Rattus norvegicus: one gene and its partners. The protein of the gene in region 1 interacts with the protein of each later gene in a pairwise test. Links are inferred from orthologs where the notes say so. Each region holds a gene or a part of one and is shown in the gene's direction. Other genes may lie near its edges. The genes, in order: Trim41, Chd2, Zbtb48, Fra10ac1, Ehhadh, Top3b and Gpatch2l.

The links.
Region 2: the proteins of Trim41 (region 1) and Chd2 interact in binary tests that used the Homo sapiens proteins (3 or more experiments, as listed by UniProt). The two-hybrid records come from large-scale screens. The link is inferred for Rattus norvegicus from reciprocal best matches to the Homo sapiens genes TRIM41 and CHD2.
Region 3: the proteins of Trim41 (region 1) and Zbtb48 interact in binary tests that used the Homo sapiens proteins (3 or more experiments, as listed by UniProt). The two-hybrid records come from large-scale screens. The link is inferred for Rattus norvegicus from reciprocal best matches to the Homo sapiens genes TRIM41 and ZBTB48.
Region 4: the proteins of Trim41 (region 1) and Fra10ac1 interact in binary tests that used the Homo sapiens proteins (3 or more experiments, as listed by UniProt). The two-hybrid records come from large-scale screens. The link is inferred for Rattus norvegicus from reciprocal best matches to the Homo sapiens genes TRIM41 and FRA10AC1.
Region 5: the proteins of Trim41 (region 1) and Ehhadh interact in binary tests that used the Homo sapiens proteins (3 or more experiments, as listed by UniProt). The two-hybrid records come from large-scale screens. The link is inferred for Rattus norvegicus from reciprocal best matches to the Homo sapiens genes TRIM41 and EHHADH.
Region 6: the proteins of Trim41 (region 1) and Top3b interact in binary tests that used the Homo sapiens proteins (3 or more experiments, as listed by UniProt). The two-hybrid records come from large-scale screens. The link is inferred for Rattus norvegicus from reciprocal best matches to the Homo sapiens genes TRIM41 and TOP3B.
Region 7: the proteins of Trim41 (region 1) and Gpatch2l interact in binary tests that used the Homo sapiens proteins (3 or more experiments, as listed by UniProt). The two-hybrid records come from large-scale screens. The link is inferred for Rattus norvegicus from reciprocal best matches to the Homo sapiens genes TRIM41 and GPATCH2L.

Annotation. Positions count from the first base shown.
Region 1 is NC_086028.1:33,684,633-33,688,674, reverse strand, and holds the start of Trim41 (E3 ubiquitin-protein ligase TRIM41), read left to right. Parts: upstream 1-1,242; 5' UTR 1,243-1,953; coding exon 1,954-2,760; intron 2,761-4,042.
Region 2 is NC_086019.1:136,665,336-136,668,835, reverse strand, and holds part of Chd2 (chromodomain-helicase-DNA-binding protein 2), read left to right. Parts: intron 1-1,552; coding exon 1,553-1,677; coding exon of another isoform or gene 1,678-1,681; intron 1,682-3,500. UniProt on the Homo sapiens protein: ATP-dependent chromatin-remodeling factor that specifically binds to the promoter of target genes, leading to chromatin remodeling, possibly by promoting deposition of histone H3.3.
Region 3 is NC_086023.1:167,813,487-167,817,765, reverse strand, and holds the start of Zbtb48 (telomere zinc finger-associated protein), read left to right. Parts: upstream 1-1,479; 5' UTR 1,480-1,581; exon of another isoform or gene 1,582-1,727; intron 1,728-2,060; 5' UTR 2,061-2,063; coding exon 2,064-2,732; intron 2,733-3,095; coding exon 3,096-3,343; intron 3,344-4,279. Other genes in the region: Tas1r1 (taste receptor type 1 member 1 precursor), read left to right, coding at 110-1,041. UniProt on the Homo sapiens protein: Plays a critical role in transcriptional regulation and chromatin remodeling. Acts as a regulator of telomere length. Directly binds the telomeric double-stranded 5'-TTAGGG-3' repeat.
Region 4 is NC_086019.1:245,403,384-245,406,883, reverse strand, and holds part of Fra10ac1 (protein FRA10AC1 homolog), read left to right. Parts: intron 1-1,018; coding exon 1,019-1,095; intron 1,096-2,228; coding exon 2,229-2,312; intron 2,313-3,263; coding exon 3,264-3,348; intron 3,349-3,500. UniProt on the Homo sapiens protein: May be involved in pre-mRNA splicing.
Region 5 is NC_086029.1:92,745,090-92,749,208, forward strand, and holds the start of Ehhadh (peroxisomal bifunctional enzyme), read left to right. Parts: upstream 1-1,319; 5' UTR 1,320-1,340; coding exon 1,341-1,414; intron 1,415-4,119. UniProt on the Homo sapiens protein: Peroxisomal trifunctional enzyme possessing 2-enoyl-CoA hydratase, 3-hydroxyacyl-CoA dehydrogenase, and delta 3, delta 2-enoyl-CoA isomerase activities. Catalyzes two of the four reactions of the long chain fatty acids peroxisomal beta-oxidation pathway.
Region 6 is NC_086029.1:97,603,161-97,605,597, reverse strand, and holds part of Top3b (DNA topoisomerase 3-beta-1), read left to right. Parts: intron 1-691; coding exon 692-820; exon of another isoform or gene 821-1,006; intron 1,007-1,478; coding exon 1,479-1,628; intron 1,629-1,980; coding exon 1,981-2,081; intron 2,082-2,437. UniProt on the Homo sapiens protein: Releases the supercoiling and torsional tension of DNA introduced during the DNA replication and transcription by transiently cleaving and rejoining one strand of the DNA duplex.
Region 7 is NC_086024.1:111,613,075-111,617,230, forward strand, and holds the start of Gpatch2l (G patch domain-containing protein 2-like), read left to right. Parts: upstream 1-1,356; 5' UTR 1,357-1,428; exon of another isoform or gene 1,429-3,462; 5' UTR 3,463-3,472; coding exon 3,473-4,134; exon of another isoform or gene 4,135-4,156.

The DNA of each region.
Region 1 (4,042 bases):
ACTACACTACGGAAACCGCACTGTTTACAGCGCTGCTCGGCAAGCTCCTAAAGCTACAATCGGACAGGCTTGCGTCCACTTCCTAAAACCAGATTTGCCCCACTAAGGTTCATGATCTTAGTACGTTCAATTAGAGGTGTTCTGAGGTCACGGTACCCAACTAAATCTGCGCTCAGAGGATATGGTGCATCAATTATTTATGACCCCCAGACTAACAAAAACGAGATTAAAAAAAAAAAAAAGCTGCAAGAGAAATGCTTTGGGGACCACAGGGATAGGATTCTCTCACAAATAAGTTCCACAACACAATTCGGGACGCCTCTTCCCCTTAGACTGAAATTCTCAGGAATACAAATCTCAAAAGCATTTCGGATGAACGACATGAAAGGTGTGCACGGCCCACAGAAAGTATTAAAATTGGAATAACCCCATTACGCTTGGAAGATATTTCTAAAGAGAACACACGGACTTGTTCCAAAGGATATACAAAGAACTACGTAATCGGAAAAGTGTCTTTACTGACTGGCCAGCCTTCCTAGAGAAATTCTACTGTCTTCTTCCCTCCACAGACGAGAATATGGTAGAGTAGCTAACTTCAACACCTCAAAATCCTCACGAAATTCTGTGAGGTAGCAACTATGGTTTACTTTGTATGATTTATTTTATATTACTACATATTTACTTTGTGTAGACATTCAAAGTACCAAATACACTTAACATTACTTGCCCTCCTATATACTCCAGTGTTCAGCAATCTGCACTTTTTACTTAATTTATTCCGAAGATTCCTTTTATATAGCTGAACAGTGTTCCATTTAATATGAACGTGGATATTAATAATAAGTAATGGGAGAAGTGACCAGTTGACAGGGTTTTTGTTTTGTTTTTTGTTTGTTTTGACTGGTTGCTGGTTGTTGTCTGGGACAGGGTCTCACTTTGCAGTTCAGGTTAGATAAACCTGGAACTTGTCACAATTCTCCTGCCTCACCCTCTCAAGTGCTGGGTTTATAGGAGTGCTGTAGTTCGCCGGCAATGTTGCAGTTCCTAAAACGGACACGAAAATGCCCAGCACAGAAGGAGGGCGGAGCCCCTCTAACTCCAGGCTCATCATATGCCGTCAGGCTCCGCCCAAGATCCTATTTGGAGGGACCCCCGGAGTCTCAAACGAACAAGTTTTGGGTCTAGAGGGGCCGGAAACATTGGAGGACGCTGAGCGGACCCGCCCCTCAGCTTCCGGCTCTGGTCCTGGGAGTCCCTTCTGCAGTCGTCCGTGCCTGGTCGGTAGGATGGCGCTAGGCCGCTGCGATTGTAGCACGGAGAACAGGGCGCTGCTCAACGTCCTCGCTACCCTCCGCCGTCTGTCCCCGCTGGCAGGGCATGGGGGCTTCTTCCGCTCTGTACGCGTTCTTCGCGGCCAGTCATCACCGAGATGTGGGCCTCCGCCGTCCTAGCCCTCCCGTCCTGTTCCCGCGTGTCAGCTAGAGCGTCTCCTCCTCGTTTCCTGTCGCTCCGGGGCTGGGCGTGGGAGAAGGGGGCGTAACACACCCTCGAAGGGAACTCGTGAGTTCAGGTCGTGTGGAGACGCCGGAAGCGTTGGGAGGGAGGCCGGAAGCTGGGGGGCGGGGCCAGGAAGTGAGGAGGGGCGGGGGTTTATGAGGAGGCCAGGGGAGCGTTGGGGCAGATTTGCACTCAGGTCCACCTGAGGTACTTGTCGGTGGTACTCACCTCTGTCCCCTCCCTTCTGTGAGACAAGGTTGTCGTCTCGGGGTAGGGGACTGTGTGTGGAGGGGCGGGCTGGTCGGAGGACATTCCTTTGCCTCGCCGCAGGCAAGGTGTGGAGAGGCTGGGCTTGGGGTGGGGACGGGTCTTCTGGGCTTCAGAGACGGGAGACCCCCCCGCCCCACCCCCCCGCTCCCCCCACCGCACTTCTACACTGGCTGACTGGACACTAAGATGGCTGCCGTTGCCATGACACCCAACCCTGTGCAGACCCTTCAGGAGGAGGCGGTGTGCGCCATCTGCCTCGATTACTTCACGGACCCCGTGTCCATCGGCTGCGGGCACAACTTCTGCCGAGTGTGTGTAACCCAGTTGTGGGGCGGGGAGGATGAAGAAGACAGAGATGAGTTGGATCGGGAGGAGGAGGAGGAGGTCGGAGAGGAGGAAGAAGTGGAGGCTGTCGGGGCAGGCGGGGGTTGGGACACCCCTATGCGCGATGAAGATTATGAGGGTGACATGGAGGAGGAGGCCGAGGAGGAAGAGGAAGGTGTGTTCTGGAGTAGTGGTATAGGCGGGTCTAACTGGGACAACATGGACTATGTGTGGGAGGAGGAGGAGGAGGAGGAAGAACTGGACTATTACTTGGGGGATGTGGAGGACCTGAGGGTGGAAGATGAGGATGAGGAGGAGGAAGTCCTGGAGGAAGACGAGGAAGAGGAGCTGGACCCGATCACCCAACTGCCACCACCTCCAGCCCCTCGGAGGTGCTTCACTTGTCCCCAGTGTCGAAAAAGTTTTCCTCGGCGGAGCTTCCGCCCCAACCTGCAGTTGGCCAACATGGTCCAGGTGATTCGGCAGATGCATCCAACCCCTGGTCGAGGGAGTCGTGTGAATGAACAAGGCATCTGTCCCAGACACCAAGAAGCCCTGAAGCTGTTCTGTGAGGTGGATGAAGAAGCCATCTGTGTGGTGTGCCGCGAATCCAGGAGCCACAAACAGCATAGTGTGGTGCCATTGGAGGAGGTAGTGCAGGAGTACAAGGTGAGTAAAAGAGAGGAGGCAGATGTAGTTAGGATGGGAAGGAGGTAAAGAGAATTGGGGACGGGATGTGGGTTCTCCTAACAGGACCTTGTCATTGAAAACTGATTCTCCCTGTCTAAGCACTGACTTCAAGGTGGGTAAATGAGAAGGATCCTCTAATTTCCTTTGTGGCTTAAGGATAGGGGGACTAGTGACAGGGAGTGCTTCACTGCCAGTACTGTTTTCTTCTGGATGAATCTGACATGGGTAAGACTTAAGATTGCAAGAAATGGAGACCTAAAGAACAAGTGAAGGGCCTGAAACAGGAGCATAGAAATAGCCAAGTGTCAGATTAAAAAAAAAACAAAAACCACTTGTCTCTCAATGGTTTCCACACCTCTCCTAGGATATGGCTTTGTTGGCTTTTCTCCGCACCCAGTCTCATGTATTAACCAGAAAAGAGAGAGGCTCTTAGGGCAAAACATCTTGCTCAAGTTTGAGAGTGTCTTTGAACTTTCATTACCACAGGCATATTAGTTAATATTCACAGGACACCTTACATATAGTCAGAACTGTGCTGGCCACTTTTTATAGATTATCATTTATAATTCAAAGACACTGTGAGTTTGATGTTTGCTATTCTCATTTTATTGATTGGGAAACAGGTTTAAGTTCTGAACATGGAGTTTATATGCTGTACAGCCTTAGTGATAGACTTTGATGTGAACGTCCTCCCTTTGGGGCCTACATCCTACTTGGATATTTAGTTTGACTTTCTGACTTGACTGTTCTTGGAGTGTAATTTCATTTGGTTAACTGTCTGGTTATTTCTCTGATCCTTTGGACATATGTGAAGGACATTTATCTATGAGACATCCAACACAGAACTACCTTCAGAATCGAAGCCAGGAACTAGGAGTGTGGAGCCTCTGTCAGGCCAGAGCTTTGTTATTTGTGATTCGATCAGTAACTTTATTTAGGTGGTCATCATTAACAGAGCTTTAGAGTCTGAGGCTTCACAGCTGATCGTCCGCTACTCGAGGAGGTTTGCAAACGTACAGTAGGCCGTACTGCAGAAGTTCAGAGTCAGTGAGAGTATCTATAGAAAACAGCCTAAGGGGGATTTAGCTCAGTGGTAGAGCGCTTACCTAGGAAGCGCAAGGCCCTGGGTTCGGTCCCCAGCAATGAAAAAAAGAGCCAAAAAAAAGAAAGAAAGAAAGAAAGAAAACAGCCTAAGATGGGCATGCAAGCCTCTAATCTGAACACTTGGGAAAGCGGAAGCAGGAATATCAGTTCAAGGTCA
Region 2 (3,500 bases), on another chromosome or scaffold:
CATCCCCAGCCTACTTTTATATTGTTTTTGTGGAAAAGTGTGGTAACCAAAGGGTTAGTTGGGCACATATGTAGAAGTAAAAATACAACAAGAGTCAATGATGATTAAAAGTTACATTAAATATAAATAATTATGGCATGGGCTGTTGAATTTGCCCAGAGAGTAGAGTGTGCCTGCATGTGCAGTCCTTGAGTTTGATTGCTTAGCACCAGACAAAACTGAACATCACTGGGCATGCCTGTAATCCCATGCTTCAGGAGGTGGAGGCAGAGGAATCAAGAGATTAAAGGTCGTCCTTGGCCGTGTAGTGAGTTCAAGGCCACCCTGGTTTATACATGACTTGTCTCAAAGGAAAAAGAAAGAAAGCGAAAGTAGAGGATGAGAGGCTGGAGAGAGGGTTCAGAGATGAAGAATGCTCACTGCTCTTGGAGAAGACCTGAATTAAGTTCACAGCACCTAGGTTGTGGTTTGCAGCTGCCTGTGACTCCTGTTCTCAGAGATTCAGTGCCATCTTCTCACCTGGAGCATCCTGTATGCATGTGGTCTACTTCAGTAACACACACACACACACACACACACACACACACACACACACACACACACACTTTTTTGCTGGTTTCTATAATTTGATACTTTGTAATTAGCTATATTGTGAGAAATATTTGAAACTAGATACTTTAAAACAGACAGGAAAGATGTCTCTGAATTTTAAATTAGAAACTGAATATACAAGCTTTTTATTGTTCGATTGATTGTACAAGTCTTCTCATGGAATTTGCTGAAGTCTAGAAATATTCCTGGTTCCTTGGCCTGTATCTTAGAGAAGTGGAAGTTCATGTTACTAACATGAACTCCTTCCCGTCTGTGGAAGACAGGGTGTGACTGCTGCTCAGGATTGTGGTGCAGAGGCCATGGTCAGCATAGAACAGAGGTGGAGATGTGGCTCCAGTGGGCACTGGAAGAGGTTTCCTGAGGAAAACAGCCAGTGCTTACATTTCCTCCACCTCTTAGAAACTGTTGTTGTGCTTAATAACGAATGAGACAGTGTCCTGGAGCCTGAGGGGTAGGCTTTGTACTTAAGGACAGTTGTTGCTTTTGCAGAAGACTGAGCTTCCGTTCCCAATGCCCACATAGCAGCTCATGACTGTCTAGTACCAGGGTGCAGTTCCAGGGGACCCGCCACTCTCTTCTGATCACCTCAGGTACTAAGCCCACATGTGCTGCACATACATACATGCCAGCAATACATTCATGTCATACACTTAATAAGACTTCCAGAGTTTGCTGTATTCTTTAGAAAAGGTGACAACATCAAGGTAACTCTGAGTGTCACACAGTAAAGGATGAACAAATTAAGAGCAAATTAATGTTCACAGATTTATGTCAGAAAAAGAATATATTTAAAAATACTTTATTTTAGGATCAACTCTGGGAACAGAATAGGAAGGGTGAGGTGAGGCGACAGTTCATACCTGAATTATGACTAGTATTGTAGTTTAAGATCAAGCAAAAATGTTCTAAGACTTATGCTTTGTTAATTTTTGTTTCCCAGGCACTAAAGCAAAGACCACGGTTTGTAGCTTTGAAGAAGCAACCAGCATACTTAGGAGGAGAGAATCTGGAGCTCCGAGACTATCAGCTGGAGGGTCTCAACTGGCTTGCTCACTCCTGGTGCAAGTAGGTAGAGAATATGGTTAGATTTTCTCTGTTGTGTTTGGCTTATTATTATCCTAAGAGCTAAGTGTAGGCAATTTCGGCTTGGAGGGTTTGAGTGATTCAAGGGAGGCGTGATTCCTCTGTCATTCATTATGTGATACCTCATGTCAGAGCTTCCTTCACTGCTGACAGCAGACTTTTCCCGCACACAGTTTTAAAAACATTTTTATTTAAGTGTATGGGTATTTTCCTGTTTGTATGTCTGTGTACCACTTGTGTACCATGTACCTAAAGAGGCCAGAAGGAGGGCATTGATATCTTGGACCTGCTTGTGAGCTGTCGCATGGGTACTGGGAACTAAGAACTTAGACGACACTAAAGAGATTGTGTGGGCTAGCCCTTTTATTTTATAATTGGTGGTGCTTAGGAGCAAAGATAGCATGAGGTTTGTTCAGAGTTGCACAGTATTTGCTACGTAGTCCTTCATTAGCATGTTTTGTTTGTTTGAGGTAGTTTCTCAGTGTAGTTCTGGCTTGCCCTAGGACTCAGTATGCTCCCCAAATTGGCCTTTAACTAAAAGTCATCTGTTTATGATTTTGGTAAATTAAATGCCTTGTTTTTGTAGCTACTATTATTAGCTAATACTATTTCTAGTAGTAAATATTTTTAATACTCTGGTTCACCAGTCAAGCACATATACATGCAAACCAATTCATTAGGCGCAGAAACTTGGCTGCAATACAGTCCCAGTAGCGTGAGTCTAGCTGAGAGCAGGAAGGGTTGATCTGCTTTCTCGTAGCTGTGTCTCTCCAGGCACAGGAACAAGAGTACAAACACCTTCAGGTCTATGTGTCTTAAGCTCCACTTGACAAGGATTATCAACCAGCCATAGCTCCTGAAGTGAGTCCAGCTGCCAGCTCTTGCCTTCGCTTGGCTTTGTCTTGTGCTGCTTCTACTTTATAAGCAAGTATACGGACATTTGTGTACCTCGGGAGACATGGTGAACAGCTGCAGTTAAATCGTGCACATGTTTCTGGGTTAAAGGGTCAGAAAAGATAGTGGGAGACATGGCTCAATGGTTGAGAGCATTGACTGCTCTTCCAGAGGTCCTGAGTTCAATTCCCAGCAATCACATGGTGGCTCATGACCATCTGTAGTGGCTCCTATTCTGTCTTCTGAAGACAGCTACAGTGTACTCACATACATAAAATAAACAAATCTTAAAAAAAAAAAAAAGAGTCAGAAAAGAAGGAGAGACCCACCAAGAGCCTTCCAAAACTAGTCTGGGCCAAGTCAGTCCTCCAAGAGGGAGTTGGGCTTTGAAAACAGGAAGGAGAGCTGGTGTCTACAGGGAAACAGGAGGAGTCCCCTGCCAAAGAGAGCAAGCCGCTGAGGGCTTAAGCTGAACAGATGGCAATGGGGTTTAGCTTGGGAAGGACCCAGATGAACTGCAGTACCCAGGAGAAGCATAAAGTCATAAACAACCAACAAATATCAGAGTTGTGAGGGTCCTTGGCAGCCCCACAGTTCTGGTACTGAGGGAAACTCAAAATCTTGGGCTAAGGTGGACATTGTGGTACTATTTTTATTTATTAATTTTTAAAAAAAGTTTGCTTACATTGAATGTGACCTGTGTGTACTTATATACTTGCATTACTGAGAAGAGAGAATCCTACTTCCCTACTCCCTGATGCTGGGGACTGTCTTTAAATAGTTAGGCTTTATGGCACATGGCTTTCCCCTTTAGCCACTCACTGGCCTGTAATAATGTTTACAGACTACGGTCAGACTAGATCTCTAATTAACTGCCATATAGGCTACTTTGTATTTCCCAAACATAGTTT
Region 3 (4,279 bases), on another chromosome or scaffold:
CTGCCAAGGTGCAACTCTCCCAGAATCTTGCAGGACCTGGACCTCCCTTCCCCCATCTTCCCCTTCCTTCTGCTCACCTGGCTCTCAGAAACCTTGTCTTCCCTTTCAGAGCTTCACATCTGCCAGCCTTGTGGAACAGAAGAATGGGCACCCAAGGAGAGCACTACTTGCTTCCCACGCACGGTGGAGTTCTTGGCTTGGCATGAACCCATCTCTTTGGTGCTAATAGCAGCTAACACGCTATTGCTGCTGCTGCTGGTTGGGACTGCTGGCCTGTTTGCCTGGCATTTTCACACACCTGTAGTGAGGTCAGCTGGGGGTAGGCTGTGCTTCCTCATGCTGGGTTCCCTGGTGGCCGGAAGTTGCAGCTTCTATAGCTTCTTCGGGGAGCCCACGGTGCCCGCGTGCTTGCTGCGTCAGCCCCTCTTTTCTCTCGGGTTTGCCATCTTCCTCTCCTGCCTGACAATCCGCTCCTTCCAACTGGTCATCATCTTCAAGTTTTCTACCAAGGTGCCCACATTCTACCGTACCTGGGCCCAAAACCATGGTGCAGGTCTATTCGTCATTGTCAGCTCCACGGTCCATTTGCTCATCTGTCTCACATGGCTTGTAATGTGGACCCCACGACCCACCAGGGAATACCAGCGCTTCCCCCATCTGGTGATTCTCGAGTGCACAGAGGTCAACTCTGTAGGCTTCCTGTTGGCTTTCACCCACAACATTCTCCTCTCCATCAGTACCTTCGTCTGCAGCTACCTGGGTAAGGAACTGCCAGAGAACTATAATGAAGCCAAATGTGTCACCTTCAGCCTGCTCCTCAACTTCGTATCCTGGATCGCCTTCTTCACCATGGCCAGCATTTACCAGGGCAGCTACCTGCCTGCGGTCAATGTGCTGGCAGGGCTGACCACACTGAGCGGCGGCTTCAGCGGTTACTTCCTCCCCAAGTGCTATGTGATTCTCTGCCGTCCAGAACTCAACAATACAGAACACTTTCAGGCCTCCATCCAGGACTACACGAGGCGCTGCGGCACTACCTGATCCACTGGAAAGGTGCAGACGGGAAGGAAGCCTCTCTTCTTGTGCTGAAGGTGGCGGGTCCAGTGGGGCCGAGAGCTTGAGGTGTCTGGGAGAGCTCCGGCACAGCTTACGATGTATAAGCACGCGGAAGAATCCAGTGCAATAAAGACGGGAAGTGTGTGTGTGTGTGTGTGGTTTCTTGTCTGCTCTTCCGGTGTGGGGAGAGCTTGGGACCGCACAGCAAGCGGGAGTGGGAGTCTAGGGCACAGCTTGGTGTTACCTGGCAACTCCGGACTTGAGACCCAGCGCAGTTGAATTTACCCCTTGCCCCGCCCTCTATGCTGCCCATTGGCCTTTCTCTGAGGCTCCGCCTTCGAGGCGGGACCTAAGGACTTTGCGCCGCCGAGGCGTCCGGTTCTGGCCTGAGCGCCTATACGTCACATCCGGCGCGGCGACGGCGGCGTCTCCGCGCTGTGGGCCGGGCAGTAGTTAGTCTTGTGGGCGGTGGAAGTGGTCTAGCCCGGAGCAGTGAGGCCGGTGCGAGCCGGGAGGACCGGCAGGGTGAGGAGGGCGCGGGAGGGAGGCGCCTCGGGCTCTGAGGAGAGTGTGGCCGCCGCCTTCCACTTGCCGTCCGCGACGTGCAGGCGCGGCGTGGGCTTGGGTCACCTGTGCGCAGCCGCCGCCCTGCCCTTCTGGCTGTGCGTTGGGTGCGCTACAGATCAGTTGTCGTCCACGCTTTTCTGTCCCCCAAACTCTCATTTTCATTTTCTCCCACCAGCACCCTATCCCGACGGACCCAGTCCTGTCTCGCGCCATGCACTTCCTCTCCCGCTCTCTCCCCTCTGGCCAACCCATGCCGCTCCCCGCCCCCAAGAGGCTGTCACTCCACGCTGGCTGTGTGCCCCGTGTGCACCTTCTAACCTTGACCCAGGCCTTCATCCCGACATGGGTGGATGTTTAAAGTGTCCATCTCACCCTCAGTCTAAAAGGGCTTCCCCGATTGGGGCTGGCCAGAGTGTCATGTTTGCCTTCCCTTCCAGATTATGGATGGTTCCTTCGTACAGCACAGCGTGAGGGTTCTGCAGGAACTCAACAAGCAGCGTGAGAAGGGCCAGTATTGCGACGCCACGCTGGACGTGGGGGGCCTGGTGTTCAAGGCGCACTGGAGTGTCCTGGCGTGTTGCAGCCGTTTCTTCCAGAGAATCTACGGGGATGGCTCAGGGGGCAGTGTTGTCCTCCCTGCAGGTTTTGCTGAGATTTTTGGCCTCCTGCTGGACTTTTTCTACACTGGCCACCTCGCCCTCACCTCAGGGAACAGGGATCAGGTGCTCTTGGCAGCCAAAGAGTTGAGGGTGCCTGAGGCTGTGGAGCTATGTCAGAGCTTCCAGCCCCAAACCTCAGCGGGACAGGCACAGAGTGGACCGGGCCAAGTTTCCTCCCAGGATGTGAAAAGCCACCTCAAGGAGCCAACAGACTTGGATGAGGAGGAAGTTTTCAGGACTCTGAGCCTGGCCTCTGTGGATCAGGAGCCCAGAGACGGTGAGCAGCCCCAGCTCAGCACACCTGCCCAGAGCAGCCCGGCCTTCCTCTGTGGGAAACTCAAGCAGGTGTTGAAGCCTTCTCCCCCAGCGGACAAAGAGTCTGAGGACAGCAAAGAGCCCCCAAGGCCTTTTGAAGCTGAAGGTGCCCCACTGCAGGGCGAGAGCAATGAGGTACTGTTTCCAGGGTGCTGAGCTGGGGAGGCAGGCATAAGGGTAAAGACCGGCACTTCTGGAGCAGACATAGGAAGCCAGTGGTCTCAGCTGACCTCCTGCGAGCTACACTTGTCCATGGTTGCCAGCTTCCTTGGGGTGGAGTGAGCATCAGGGTTACGGGTATTTCCTTAGGTTAGTCAACCTGGCTGCTAACACAGCCATTGTGCTCCAAGTCCAACATTGCCATTTTCTCTGGACCCGGAGGGAAAGGGTCTCTGCTGAAGGGACTGTCCAGGGGGTGGGGCTTATGTTGGAGTTAAAGGCAGGTCCCTGCTGATACCTGGGTGACCCTATCCCCTCCTGCTGCCTCCTCTACTCTAGTGGGAAGTGGTGGTTCAAGTTGAGGACGACAGGGATGGTGATGGCGATTATGCATCTGAGCCTGAGACTGTGCTGACCAGGAGGAAGTCAAAAGTGATTAGAAAGCCGTGTGCGGCAGAGCCAGCCCTGGGTGCAGGCTCCCTCACAGCCGAGCCCACCGAGGGCAGAAAAGGTGCAGCAGTTCCGGTCGAATGTCCCACATGTCATAAGAAGTTCCTCAGCAAATACTACCTAAAAGTCCACAACAGGTAAATGCTCTGTTTCTCTCTATTTTCTTTCCCTATCCGCCCCTCCACGTTGTGGGAAGGGGCCCTGTACTCCCCTGCTCTGGGCTCTGTGGTGCTGGGGGTTCTATGTCAGGCCCTAATAGTGCCTGGTCACCTGCCCCCTCTTCCTGTCTTCCTGTGAATTATGGGTTTGTGGACACCCGGTCAGTAGATTCTACCCATTGTGGAGTTTGACTGACCATGGGCAGGCCTCTGCCCACATGAAGCATGAGACAAGCCTCTGGCCCCTTCCCAAGCTGGAGCTGAGGTCTGATAGGCAGTGTAGGCTGTGACAAGAGGCTGATCTTAAGGAAGGTCGGAGGCTGCCTGTGTCTCTGAGAGTGCTAGCTCTGCGTGTCAGTTATGTATGAGGGGCCATTTGTCTAGCTCTGTGTGTCAGTTATGTATGAGGGACCGTTTGTCTAGCAGGGACCCTGGAGGGCTTGGAGGTTTGTTCCTCTCGTTAGCTTTGTAGGGCTTTTTTTTTTTTTTTTCTTTTTTCTTTTTTCTTTTTTTTTGGAGCTGGGGACCAAACCCAGGGCCTTGCGCTTGCTAGGCAAGCACTCTACCACTGAGCTAAATTCCCAACCCCCTTTGTAGGGCTTTTAATATGTTTGCTTGTTTGTTTTTTGAGACCAGGTTTCTCTGTGTAACCCTGGCTGTCCTGGAACACTCTGTAGACCAGGGTGGCCTCAAAATCACGGAGATCAGCCTGCCTTTGCCTCCGGAGCTGGGATCAAAGGTTGTGCCACTACCACCTGCCTCCTCTCCACTTCTTTTTCCAAGTTGACTTGGAACTTACTGTGTAGACCAAGCTGGCCTAGAACTTAGAGATCTACCTGTATCTGCCTCCTGAGTGCTGCTATTAAAGATGTGCACCACCATACCTAGTCTTAGGACTGTTTCAAAACAACAAAG
Region 4 (3,500 bases), on another chromosome or scaffold:
TGTTACATTAGCCTACTGAGCAGTGACCGCAGAAACCACTACTGCAAAGCCTGCAAAATTTGTCATCTAGCTCCTAACAGAAAAAATTAAGAGTTCAAATAGCATGCCCATTTGTGGTAGTTGGAGAGTTTGAACCCAGACCTTGAGGTGTTTGGGCTGCCTCCCCCTTAGTTTCATGTCCTTATTAAGTACTCTATTAGAATACACTGTGTCAGGAACATCACTGTGTCTGAAGGAGGTCATCCCTGAAGCTGAGACAGCTCAGTTTGCCCATGCCTGAGTATGGAGAGTGCTGCCAAGGTTTTTAAGTGAACATTAAATGTCCATATATCTTGTTATTTCACATGAAAAATAGATACGGTTTTGTGGATTCTCTGAATATTAAAAAGAGAAGAAAAAATATTACTGTGATTTCTTTTCTGTTTGAGACACTCTCTTACCCTGAGGCCCAGGCTGGCCAGGAACTCTAGTTGCTCCCCCTGCCTCTGCCTCTTGAATGCTGGTATTCGAAGTGGGAGCCAGCGTACCTCCCCTCCTGACTGCTTATGCTTGTGTTTCGTTCTTGAAACCTTAATGTTCGTGGGATTTAATTTTATAAACATATCCTATATTTATATACTTTATCATTAATTATTACGTTGTGTAATAATGGAAGATAAATTCTAATTTTTACCATTAATTTAGAAGCCCCAATTTCCATGTTTGATTATTAGACTGGATGAGAGAATAAAGCTGTGTGCAGTCTAGAAGCAGAACAGAAAGCTCCCTCTTTCCCCTCAGTCTATACAATTTTACCACAGAATAATGCATGCATGAAAAAGGTTCCAAACATTACAGGTAATACATGCTTGAAATGTTTTCAGCAGAAAGTGGAAGTCTGCTGTGCAGGTGTCCCTCATGATTTGCACATTTAAAAATGCTAGATAGACTCATGCCATGTTTTCTTTTTATTTAGTAATATATTACAATGGAACAACTTCTGAACAGTTACAAAAATCCTTAATGTTTTGCATTTCAGTATCAAAGGCACACAAAGTTTGTAAATGACTATATTTTGTACTATGGTGGCAAAAGAGAGGACTTTAAGCGGTTGGGGTAAGTATTGGGAAGTTTACAGAGGATGATAGGGCAAGTGCAGATGATCTTCGAGGCCTCTATTGTAAATTACTTGGCAACAGGCCTCGGGAGTGTCCTCATGATTGAACAAGAATGATGTTGGAAATAACAGTACATGTGAGAATTGCTCTTGTGTCTTGTTGATGGGACCTCTGAAGCAGTGACACATTTAGACAGTAGTGTCCAGGATTGCTTTTGCAAAAATAAGGCAGTGTCCAAAAGACTCCCCAAACACAGTCTGTTGCTGTTGCCCTTGGTCTCTTCCAGAGGTCCAAGAAGTCCCTACTGCTGAGGACACCAGACACTTAGACACAGGGTTCAGATGACCCGAGATGATTCTGATCTGAAAGCCTCCTTTCTAAGGACTAGCTTTCATGGTACAATTGAAAATGTGGCCATGAATTGGAGAGCAGTGGGGAGGGTATGTGAGAGGAGTTGGAGGAAGAAAAGGTAGGATGGAAATGATGTAATATTTATAATCTCACAAAAGTAAAAGTGTTATTTAAAAAATAAGGCAATCAGGAAACTTCACTCGGGATTCCCATCCAAGAAGATGCTTCCTTTGTTGAGGCTCTGAGTCTTGCATGGACTCTCTCTGACTTGACATCTGAGTAGGTAGTCCTAAAGACGTTAACACTGCCTCAGTCACCCCACTTTTATCTTCCCTGTCCACTGAGCCCACACCGCTCAAATGTTTATTTATTCTGCTTGCAAGCCAGGCCTCTTTACTTTTCTTCCTTTATCGGTCTTTCCAGGAACCTAGTAAAGTGATGTAACATTGTGTCCTACTGAGAGCTCTGTTCTGAAATTTGTTTTTATTCACATTTCCTCACTCAGTGTCCATGTGAGCTTTTGTGTCCTTGCTTTGGTGGCAAAGCGCATTTGTGTAACTAACCCACTATAGAGTTGGTCAGATTTGTTTCTCTATAGAACTCGCTCCTTTCATTTTTTAAGTACTTTCTAAAAATATTGAAATATTTGTTTTATTTAAAAATTTCCAAATAAAAGTATATTTTTTATATTTTTATTCAAATTTTCAAAAATTTCATCACTGTTTAGCCTAAATCTGTCTAGTTTTATTTTTATGCTAAATTAAAGTTTTTATTTTCTAGGGAGAATGATAAGACAGATCTGGATGTTATACGAGAAAATCACAGATTCCTATGGAATGAGGAGGATGAAGCAGACATGACTTGGTAATTTTACTCTAGTGTGTGTGTGTGTGTGTGTGTGTGTGTGTGTGTGTGTGTGTAGGGCAGAGGACAACTGGGAAGAGTTCTTTCACCATGTGCTTCTCAGGCTTAAACTCAGATCATCAGGATTCGTGGCAGAGCCTTTCCTAATTAGACTGGCTTGCCAGTCTGAAGGCTTGGCGATTTTTGCCATTAGAATCTAATGGAACAAGTGTTATAGTCTTATCTTTCTTACTCTGTTTTCTCTTTTATTATGTGTGTGTGTGTGTATGTGTGTCTCTGTGTGAGCAGGTGCATGCCTTTATACACATATGTTTGTGGGAACCCATAGAGGCCAGAGGAAGCCATCCGATTGTCCAGATCTAGAATTATAAGAGGTTGTGAGCAGCTTAGCATGGGTGCTGGGAACTGAACTAAGGTCTTTTGAAGTACAACACATGCTCTTAACCACTGAGCCCTCTCTGCAGTCCCAATACATGTTGTCTTAATCATCATTTATCAGGGTGTTCTGCTCTTTCGTGGACAGTTTCTGAATCAAGAAGAGAAATCTACATTTAGGACTCTTGATTCTGGTTTGTAATCTTTGGCAATTTTAATTTCAATTGTAATTGTTTGACCTAGTCTTCCAAAATAATTATGCTATTGTCTGTTGTCTTATAATAAGCTATTATGTGTTCCTTATAAAATGCTTTGAATAATTTGGGAAAGTAAAATACATGAAAGTGGTTTTCAAGGTCAGACATCACTGAGGATAATAAATGAAGAGTAATTCTCCAGCTCATTCTCTGAGAGCCGCAACAGTTCATCTCCAGACAGTCGTCATATTTGTCTGTATTAGGCCTCTTTGAGCATTAATATTTATATCATATATACATCATCTATTTGATATTTTTTCCAAGTAGCAAACTATGGTTGGATTTCTGAATGTATAATACATACTTTTTATGGATTTAGGGAGAAGAGACTTGCAAAGAAATACTATGATAAATTATTCAAGGAATATTGCATAGCAGATCTCAGTAGATACAAAGAAAATAAGGTATGCCCTATGAATATTTATGGCTAGAGCTCTTGTTCAACTATAGCATTGATTCTTATTAACTACCATGACCCACATTATTCTTTCATGGCACTGATTTGAATCTGTTATCTTGAACTTTGGAATATCATTTTGACTGCTTAACCTCTGTG
Region 5 (4,119 bases), on another chromosome or scaffold:
ATTTCTGTTTTGGGACACTCACAGAGGGACTAATTGTTAGGATTGTGTGTGGCTGGGTTGTGGAGGAGCAGGAAGCATCAGCACTGGCTAAGCCTGATAGGAGCTGCCCTTCGAACTTTGTCCCCTAAATGCCTCACTTGCCTTTTGCTGATTCTGCTCCCACTGAGGTGCCGACTCTAAACAGCCAAGAAGTTTAATGGATTCATCCAGAAGCTTGCACCAAGAGCTGACTGTGGGAGACACCACAGAAAGTTCTGTGCTCAACTAAAATAAAAGTGCAGACCCGATGGCCACATGGAGATGTGCTTATTATCGCCCCCTTGCTCCAAGGGGGTGGGATGTAATAAGGCTACTCAGTGCTATTAAACCTTGAACGCTACCTGCTCAGGTTCCTAGATGCTGGCACACCAGTATCTCCTAGACACCAGTATCTGAAGGGAGGTAAAGCTGAGGTTAATGCTTCTTATAGGAAGCGAGACCTGGGCTGGCTGTGAAGACTTCTGCCAACCGAACACACTAGGAGAGTTTGGGGACTAGCCATGGTTTTAGAGGCAGCAGACAGAGATTCCTGTCGCTTGTAAGTAGCTGCTTGCTACAAGGCTGTTGTCATCGCTGCCATCTGAGGGCACACTTGAGTGGCTGGCTCTCCTTGACACGTGGGCTACGATTGTTGGAATGAGTCTGACTGATGCTCGATGCTTCCCGGGACTCAGCGTTTTTCTACTAGCCAGAACCTTTCTTAGTTTCAAGAAGTAACGCACCCGGAAATAATATTTAGACATTGTTAAAACGTGCAAACATCAGCGAAGATTTACAAGGACGCCTTTACTTGTCAACCTGCACACTTGTCAACACTGTCATCTGGCTACTTGGTGGACTTTGGCAAACATGAGAAGCCATACGCAGCTGGAAGGACCGTGTCCCAGCTGAGCTTTTAGAGGGAAGAGACAAGGCATGGTTTGTTGTCATACCCAGCCTACATTCAGCCCATAATATGTGTGCAGTTCCTGGACGAACTGTGAAAAATCCCAGCCTTTAGAAGGGACAGAACCAGAGAAGGCAGGGCCTTCTGTGCCCTGGCAAATGACTGCTTTGTGAACAAGTGGTTGACTCCGGTGGTGTGATCCAGCAGCTCAGCTTGCCTTTGGACAATCCCTTTACTAGAGGAAGAGGATCACCCTCCTTGGAGCGCAGCCGGCCCGGCAGAGCACGAAGTGCAAGGGGCAGGAGGCAGTAGCAGCGGTTCCCATTGGCCCAGCGCGCGCCCCTCCTCTTGGGGCCGCCCAGAAAAGGAGCCCTGGGCTGCCCCAGACGTCAGAGGTGCAGGATACCTTGAGAAAATGGCTGAGTATCTGAGGCTGCCCCACTCCCTGGCGATGATCCGCCTCTGCAACCCGCCAGTCAACGCCGTCAGGTAACCCCGGGACCGCGGGGTGTGGCGGGTCTGGGTGGGGGCTTGTCTCCGCTGGAAGCACGGGCCAATGGGCAGCTGTCCGTCTGTCCGCTGGTGACCTCACGGCGTGTTTACGTCTGGTTCTGGCGTGTCTGGAACCCACAGAGGTGAGTCTGGTGCAGCAAGTGGCTGTCTGAACCCCCTTCCTGCAACCCTCGTGCTGGCTTGCAACCCCAGCGTCTCTGTGAGGCCAAAACCTATAGTTAACTGACTTGTAGAAAAGCAGAGTTTGGTTCCTGTGCGTGTCAACTCTCCTTGTCAGAGGAGGCCTACTGAATAGTATTTTCTGAAAGGCTGAAGTTTACTTCACCTGCGATACCCTCCTGTGCAACGCTCTTAGCACATTACCGTTAAAAATGAGATCTGTTGTCTTTTTGAAAAATGATGTTCATTTACCCTGTTCATTTTTTATCACCGCGAATAGAATATAATTCTATATTAGCCCCAGGAGGAGGCTAATATAATTAAAACCCATATATAACCCATACATTGCAGAAGTAGTAGACAGGATTGTGACGGAGACTGTATAATTTTGACTGGTGAGACCTTGCTAAAACCCTTTTCCTAGGTGACACCTTACAGCCTAACGGACAAACCTGGGTGCCGTTCTAGCCCTGTTCACTCTGCAGGGGACCAGTGCAATGGGCTTAGGCTAACTTGCAGAACAGGGTGGTATGGGGGAAGGGGAAGAAGCCCCAGTGACCTTAGAGCTCCCACATTGGAAGCAGCCTCCGCAGCAAAGATCATGATTCCCGGTGGCTGCTAAGAGCCCCCTCCCCTAATCCTTCTCTGCCTATATCCTCTAGTCCTCTCCAGCGACCCGAGGGTACGATCAGGGCAAGGAGGGGTGGCTGGATAGTCTGGTAGTGTTCTGGTCCCCCCCTTCCATGACAATCAACTACCAACAATGATCTTTGGCAAACAAACTCACCAAACTTGCAGCGATTTGACTGGGAGAATTGTCCCGTACAACGGATGAGAACAGCTAGCCATTCACCAGAGAGAGGGCGTTTGCGAGAGGCCAGATAAATGATTCCTCCTAAGTCTAGCTCAGTAGACTAGTGACTTTACTGAAGTTAGTTACAAGAATATAGTTACTTCTAAAACAATGGAACCCCTGGAAGCCAACCGCAACACAATGACTCATGGGACTCCTTACAATTGCTTCTGCTCCTGTAACCTGGGCGAGGGGCCTTATGCACCTTGCACGTTTCTGAGCTTCCTGAGCATCCTGAACATCAGACAATGTGTTTAGCTCCCAGTACCTTGTTAGTGTCTTTAGCTTCCCGGTCTTAGCCTTTCGCCCCTTCCAGGAAAGAATGCTTCAGTCCCAAGGAAGTAACTGCACAGCAGCAGAATAAATAAAGCAAAAATGGGCCATTTGCTGAAAATTCCCACCGCAGGCTGCCGGAGCAAAACCAAACAGATGCCAGGTTGGCACATTCGTGGAATCGCAGCACTCAGGAGGCTGCAGTAGAACCGTTGATCTAGTCAGACCCCGTCTCAGAACAAACAAACAAACAAACAAACAACATAAAAGAGGAGTCATGTTAATTTTAACTAAGATTTAAACCACACTGTTATTTGATCTTATTTTTTAAAGATCTGTTTATTTATTTTATGGGTACACTGTAGCTGTCTTCAGACACACCAGAAGAGGGCATCAGATCCCATTACAGATGGTTGTGAGCCACCACGTGGCTGGGAATTGAACTCAGGACCTCTGGAAGAGCAGTCAGTGCTCTTAACCGCTGAGCCATCTCTCCAGGCCACATTTTATTTTTTAAGCTTGAAAATTATTATTATTTTATGTGTATGGGTCTTTTACCTGCAGGTATATCTGTGTATCACATGCTCTGGTGTTGTTTGGTTTTTTTGTTTGTTTTGAAACAGGGTCTTACTTTGCAGTTCTGGCTGACCTAGACTAACTATGTGAACTAGGGTGGCCTTGAACTTGCCGAGAGCCACCTGCCTCTGCCTCCCAAATATTGGGATTAAAGGTGTGTGCTACTACCCTTGGCTTAACCTGTACTTACTTTAATGTGAAGGATAGCATTGATTAATACATAATACGCAGAAATTACTGGCCACTTTGGGGGGGTGGGGCGGAAGCAAACTACTGGTCACTCCAATTTCATTCAGCTCAGAAACCAGGAAGTGGTGACCACATGTGTTTTCACAAAGAAAGCATAAGCAATATGATTCTGTATCCACATGGGGGCTCATGGACTGACAGGATTACTTGATAAGGGATTCTATTGAATGCTCTTCACGAGGCACTATGTCCATCAAGCGGTAAGGAGGGAGATATCCCACAGTCTCACAACTATTCCTTCTGGTGCCAGCCGGTGTGTTTCTTAGCCTGCTGGGTCCCTCCCCAGTTGGGAGAACGCTTAAGTTAAATGAAACGGAGATTATAAATTATTCCACACTTGCAAGGCCTCCTTGAGCAGCCTGTGGTCAGTCCCCTGTAGTAGCCCCCCTTCTGAACATCTGCTTCAGCTTTGTGGAGATTTTTTTCTTCTCTTAGACCATGCGCTTCCCCATGTGTTTCTCTGAACTTTAATTTTAGGTAAGTCGTTCATCCCATTTTAATGGCTTAGCATCCTTGTTTTTAACCTTAATTTTCTCCCCTCCCTTTCTCCATCTCTCCCTCCCACTCTTTC
Region 6 (2,437 bases), on another chromosome or scaffold:
AGTATCTCCCCCAGGAAACCCTGCCCAGGTACCCAGGGAAAACATTCTCCGGCCACCACTCCACGTGTGTATGCATTGCTGAGTTCCTTTTTACACCCCTGACATCACACAGCAGATGCATCCCCTTCACTTTTCCATCTCTGCCAGGAAACTTGTACAGGGTGAAAGAAACTGCGTCCCTGGGGTGGGAACATGCTTGCTTTGGGTGTGTGAGGGGTCTAGAGAGTGGGAGAAAGTCAGAGAGATGGGTGAAACCAGCTTGGTTCTACAGTAGCTTTGTGAGCTCTCTGGTAGAAGCTGGATCCTGATGTCTAGAGGGCCACAAGACACAGTTTCTGGATAGAAAAGGCCAACTCCTGTTTACTGGCTTCAGAGGATGCCCTCTCTGGGCTTCTGTCTTTTAACTAAAGCTTAAACACTGGTGAAGGCTGTCCTTGGGTTCACAGGTATGCCCCAGCACAGTGCAGACACAGCCCTGCTCTATCTTGGACATGTTTCTACATCATGGCTTCTGGCAGCCATACAGGAAGTAGCAGTCTGGACCTAATGAGCAAACAGGCTTCACTTTGTGGCCCTGCCCCTTATGGGTGTCGAGGAGGGATTCTGTGACGGGTGGAAGGCACTAGAGGGCATAGTCCAGACCATCTCCTTGGGCAAACTGCAGAGTACTGAGCAGTGCTGTGCATTCCAGGGACGGATGCCAGTATCCCTGTGCACATCAACAACATCTGCCAGCGCAACTACGTCACAGTGGAGAACGGCCGCCGGCTCAAGCCCACCAACCTCGGCATAGTTCTGGTGCACGGCTACCACAAGATTGGTGAGTCTGTCTACCCACTGCCAACCTCGACATAGTTCTGGTGCACGGCTACCACAAGATTGGTGAGTCTGTCTACCCACTGCCAACCTCGGCATAGTTCTGGTGCACGGCTACCACAAGATTGGTGAGTCTGTCTACCCACTGCCAACCTCGACATAGTTCTGGTGCACGGCTACCACAAGATTGGTGAGTCTGTCTACCCACTGCCGTGGCCTGCGGGGTTTCCTGCTCCTTCCTGTGCTCTGCTGCCTCCTGCCGTGACCCCGTGCTCTCATGCATTCCCCAATCCCCACTGCTGTGGGACTCAGGCATTTGATGGATGAACACATTGTAATGGGTCCCAGGGTACAAACCTTGGGTTCTTCACTAAGATACCTGCCAACTCTGCCCACTAAAGTGCCTTGTGCTCTATGGGAGATAGAGAAGTACATCATGGACCTGGCCATTCTGCAAAAGATTTCTACACAAACTTTCCTGATGGGAAGTTGAGGAAAAGTCTGGTAGCAATAGGAACTGCCCTTGGTGCCTTCCAACTCTGTGGACCAGCAGCCCAGGAAGACTGGGTCAGAGCTAGGTTGAGCAGGACAGCAGTTCTTGCCTGCCTCGTGGGGCGGCAGAGTCCTGGGTGCCCACAGCCACTCCACCCACTTGTTCACAGATGCAGAGCTGGTGCTCCCCACCATCCGCAGCGCAGTGGAGAAGCAGCTGAACCTTATTGCCCAGGGCAAAGCCAACTACCACCAGGTGCTGGGCCACACCCTGGATATCTTCAAGAGAAAGTTCCACTACTTTGTTGATTCTATTGCTGGTAAGACCTGCCTCTTCCCTGCCCCTCATCAGCAGCTACTCCCACAGGACAGAGCTACCTGAGGCCTGCCCCAGATCTGGGCTCTGAGCCTCTACCGGTCACAGCAGTGATGCCTCCTCATTTGCTGTTGCCAGGAGCAGGTTAATTAATATCAGCATCAGGAACATACAAAGCTGGTGAGCAGGGCTTTGGCTCTGCACTCCATCACTGACAGAAACACAGTCGCACTTGGATCCTTGACCATGTGTGCTGGCCTCTTTGTCTAGTTCACCCAGTTTTACCAAGCTGCCTGTTGGAGGGGGGCTGCCAAAGACCCGGAGGGACATGACCCCTGTGCTCTGCTTGCTCTCAGGCATGGACGAGTTAATGGAGGTATCCTTTTCACCCCTGGCTGCCACTGGCAAGCCCCTCTCGCGCTGTGGGAAGTGCCATCGATTTATGAAGTATATCCAGGTATGTGGAGGTTGAAAGACCATAGCACACCTAGCCAGAGCATTTCTGTTCAGATATCACCCTAAGCCTCTTGTCATTAGTCAAGCAGAAATAATGTTCATTGTCACATATAATGATTAAAAGGCCTGAATCAGCACCAGTAAACAACATAAACCACCAGGCCATATATACAGTCTATTCACTTTCGCCACCATTCACTCTCCTGCTGTCATGAGTATTAGTAACATACTGGGGCTTTACATTTACCGTGTGTGAGTGTGTGTGTGTGTGTGTGTGTGTGTGTGTGTGTGTGTGTGTGTGTGTGTGTGTGCTTGCATGCATCCGTGCGTATGTATAGGAGTCAGTTCTTTCCATCA
Region 7 (4,156 bases), on another chromosome or scaffold:
CTAATAAGCCAAAAGTTATGATTATCATACTTATGCTCTGTTATCACAGTGTTGTGAAATTCCACCCATCCACCTCCCCTTATCTTGCTCAGAACCAGTCAGCTTAAAGGTTATCTGATAATGCAGTACTTAGTAAGCCAACTGCTCCTCTCCTTGCTTTTTAAACTTTTGAACTTAGTTCTGACTCTGATACCACAGTCCTTTTTTGGGGCCTGAACATCCAGTATTGCTTAACTGAAACCAGTGTTTGTTTTGAGTGGCGATTCCTGAACCCAACACAAACCAAGCTGGGGAGGAAAGGGTTTATTTGGTTTATACTTTCACAGAATTGTTCATCATTAGCAGAAATCAGGATAGGAACTCAAATAGAGCAGGAACATGGAGGCAGGAGCTGGTGCAGAGGCCGTGGAGTGATGCTACTTACAGGCTTGCTCCTCATGGCTTGTTTAGCTTGCTTTCTTACAGAACCCAGGACCACCAGCCCAGAGATGGCAGCATCTACAATGGGCTGGGCCCTCCCCCACCAATCACTAATTAAGAAATGTCCTACAGACTTGCCTGCAGCCCTATCTAATGGATTCATTTTCTTAATGAACTTAATGAACAAGGAACTCCCTCAATATAGAAAGACATTCCATACATTCTGTGTGTGACATATACAATGCCCTTAACAGTTTTGAGGAATACTGGTGAAGTGTTCTGTAGGCTAGTTCTTAACCATACGTGGTGTAATTTCTTTCGTTTGCTTTTTCGAGACAGGGTTTCTCTGTGTAGTCCTGGTTGTCCTGGAACAAACTCTTTAGACCAGGCTAGCTAGCTTCTCCAGTATAAAGTGACCCCTTTGATATTGCATTATTCAGAGAGAAGCTGCTGTGCACAGTTCAAAATGCTCCAAGAGAGCCTATGTCTTCTACAGGAAATGTATTTCTACGGGAAATGTATCTCTTTTCCACTTACAGAATATGGAATATCAATAACCACTCAATATGGAGTTAATATTTCTTTAATGCTTTGAGTTATAATACAGTATGATTTGCTTTTTGCTCAAGCCATGTACACTTTTAATGTCATGAGTAACTTAATGTGAAGGCAGACGACCCACTTCTTAAGGTCAGCACCCTTAGGGAGAGGTTTTGTCTCATTCAGTCCTAAGGGTATCCTCACCCCATACTAGCCCATCTGTCCTGACTTGCCTCCAGGCACTACTTCCTAGTTTCCCAGAGGCCCCGCCCACCGTGGAGCGGAAGTAGGCGCACCGTAGGGCGGAAGTGCAGGGCGGGCGCCTGTCCTTTCTTGTAGCCCGCCCCCTCCCTTACCATTTCAGCCCCACCTCTTAGGCCCAGACCGGAAATGAGGTCAGAGAGGGAAACCCAGGCTGGGAGCTACGGCCCCGAAGGCGGCGCCGGGTGCAAGCGACTGCGGCAGCCGGTGAGGAGCAGGATGGCGGCGGCTGGGCCAATGCCGGGCGGGATAAGGGCTCCGGGTTGCGTCAGGGCGACCGACGGCGCCGCTGGGCTGTGGCGAGTGACAGAGGGTGGCGGGGCCTGGCTACCCTAGGTGCGTCTTCTCAGCCTGGGCTCTGAGGGACGGCCGCCTCCGTGGGAATGTCCCTTAGATGGGCGACAGCGAGAACTCAGGCTTGGTGTCCCGGGCAAGGGTTTCCCTAGCCCCCGAGGACGGGCTGGAAATGGAAGAGAGTCCTTCAAAACGCGGCTTTTTTTCATATCCGTGGTGGTGCTGTGATACCTCTCTCCCCAGCATCAACAGAGGGAATGCAGTCATTAGGACAAGATTTGAGACAGTTTCTGCCCTAGACAGCTGACCTCCAGTCTCAGGTGAACTCAAATAAGAAGTTGACTTCTGTCTACCCCACCTCTCGTTACTCTGACTGGGAGAGTAGCTCGCTGCTTTGCGGCCCACCAGCGTCCTGTGACTCAGACCAGGGTCTCCAGGGTGTACTCTTGAGAGTGAGGCTGGAGGTGTGGGTGTACCAGGGTACCTTTGAGACGCGGAAGAATTCTATGTCAGCTTCTGATGACACGTTGTTTAGTATACTTGTCCCACGTTAAAGTTTGTGCAGTTCTGCCTGAGTTTCAAAGCTGTAATTCTTTATTAGAGACTTAGGCGTGTTGTTCCCACTTGTTTATCAGCTTCGGGCTTAGGGACAGTTGTCTTCCAAACCGCAGTCCTGGCATTTTAAACTACTACCGGTTGCTAAAGGGAAATGGTCTTTTATGTGTAAGGCTTTTGACCCTTTGAGGAAGTTGCCGTGGTGGTTTTGGAGCAAGGTGGCTCTATTGCTCTCACAAGTGTGACACATAATCCAGAAGACTTTTCCTGCTTTTGAATTTGTTGACATAGGGACCCTGTGAGATTAATTTTTAGAAAGCCCCTTGCAAAAAGTAAATTGCATGAAGGGAAATACGGTCTGAGTTCAGCTTTAAGCTCCAATTATGGGCAAGATGTATTTTGAGCTTACCAAGAGCTGGAAAGAAAGTGCTATTTTAGCATACAAAATTTAGGTGTTGTGCAGATGATATTAGACATTTCTTTTTGAAAACCGAAAATTTGAAAATTGCCTCTGCTAGGCATGCCTGGAAAGGGTTGCTTCTGTTAGCCAGGTATCTTAGAGATTTTATGCTGTCCCTCCATTTTGGTTTCATTTATGTCCCAGATTTTGTGTGATTGGCACTAAGCACATAATTGGGGTGACTCAACACTATACTACTAGTACTGTTAGTGTTTCTATTACTACTACTGCTGCCACCACCAGGATGAGGGGTCTAAAAGTCCTACACTGCTGCTCCTGCTACTACTAATATAACAACAACAATACAACAATGCTAGCAACATCAAATCAGTGTCATACTCCACAGCAGTTTGTTTCTAATAACTTTCAGGTGGCAGTTGGTACCATGGTAGTACCAGACGTGGGCTTCCTTTTTTTTCCCCCATTCTGAGTACCTACTTGGGTCACCGAAAGTTCTGGGACTATGAATATCGTGAAGTCTTCTTCATAGGTGCCACTCAGCTCTTTCTCTCCTCCCTACCGCAACCTTTTTAGCAGAAATCCCAGACCTCAGTGTGACCCTCTATCGTGATTGGTTCATGCCTGGTGCTCTCTTGGCTCTACCGTAATGATGAAGTTGTGTGGTTTGCTTTTCTTCTCCAGTGATTAGGCAATCAAGGGATCACTTAATTGGAGAAAGGAGGAAGCTCAATTTGTTTATTTTTGCTAATGTCCTAGTTGTCATCTGGCAAGCTACTGGATATGTTGATTTCCAGTACTCGCCAATGGCCAGACACCTGCTTTTTGTGGTACGTGGATGGTAGAAACGGTAGCTGATGAAAGAAGTCTATTTTCTGTAGCCAGCCAGGGAGCCCAATAGCATTATGTGCTTTATAAGCTTTCTGGAAAAGCAGCAGGTCTTTTAAAGCATCTCTTCTGCTTTTATTTGGCAGATGTGGCCTCATGGATGAGCTGGTGCATGACTTAGCCTCAGCCTTGGAGCAGACATCTGAGCAGAGTAAGCTTGGTGAGCTGTGGGAGGAGATGGCCCTGAGCCCCAGACAGCAGAGGCGGCAGCTTCGGAAGCGCCGAGGCCGGAAGCGCCGTTCCGACTTTACTCACCTGGCTGAGCACGCCTGCTGCTTCAGCGAGGCCTCTGAGTCAAGTCTGGATGAGGCCACCAAGGACTGTCGAGAAGTGGCTCCGCTCACCAACTTCAGTGACTCTGATGACACAGTGGTGGCCAAACGGCACCCAGCTCTCAGTGCCATCGTTAGGGGTAAGCAGCACTCTTGGCATGAATCTGACTCCTTTACGGAAAATGCGCCTTGTCGACCCCTCAGGCGCCGGCGGAAGGTGAAGAGAGTGGCATCCGAGGTGGCTGCCAGCCTTCAGCAGAAGCTGAAAGTGTCAGATTGGAGCTATGAGAGAGGCTGCAGGTTCAAGTCTGCCAAGAAGCAGCGTTTATCCCGATGGAAGGAGAATACTCCCTGGACCTCATCTGGCCATGGGCTGTGTGAATCAGCAGAAAGTCGGACTTTCCTAAGCAAAACAGGAAGGAAAGAAAGGATGGAGTGCGAAGCAGAGGGACAGAAACACGGCTCCGACGAGAACATGTCCGAAAGGTGAGCTCTCCCTCCGTAAAGC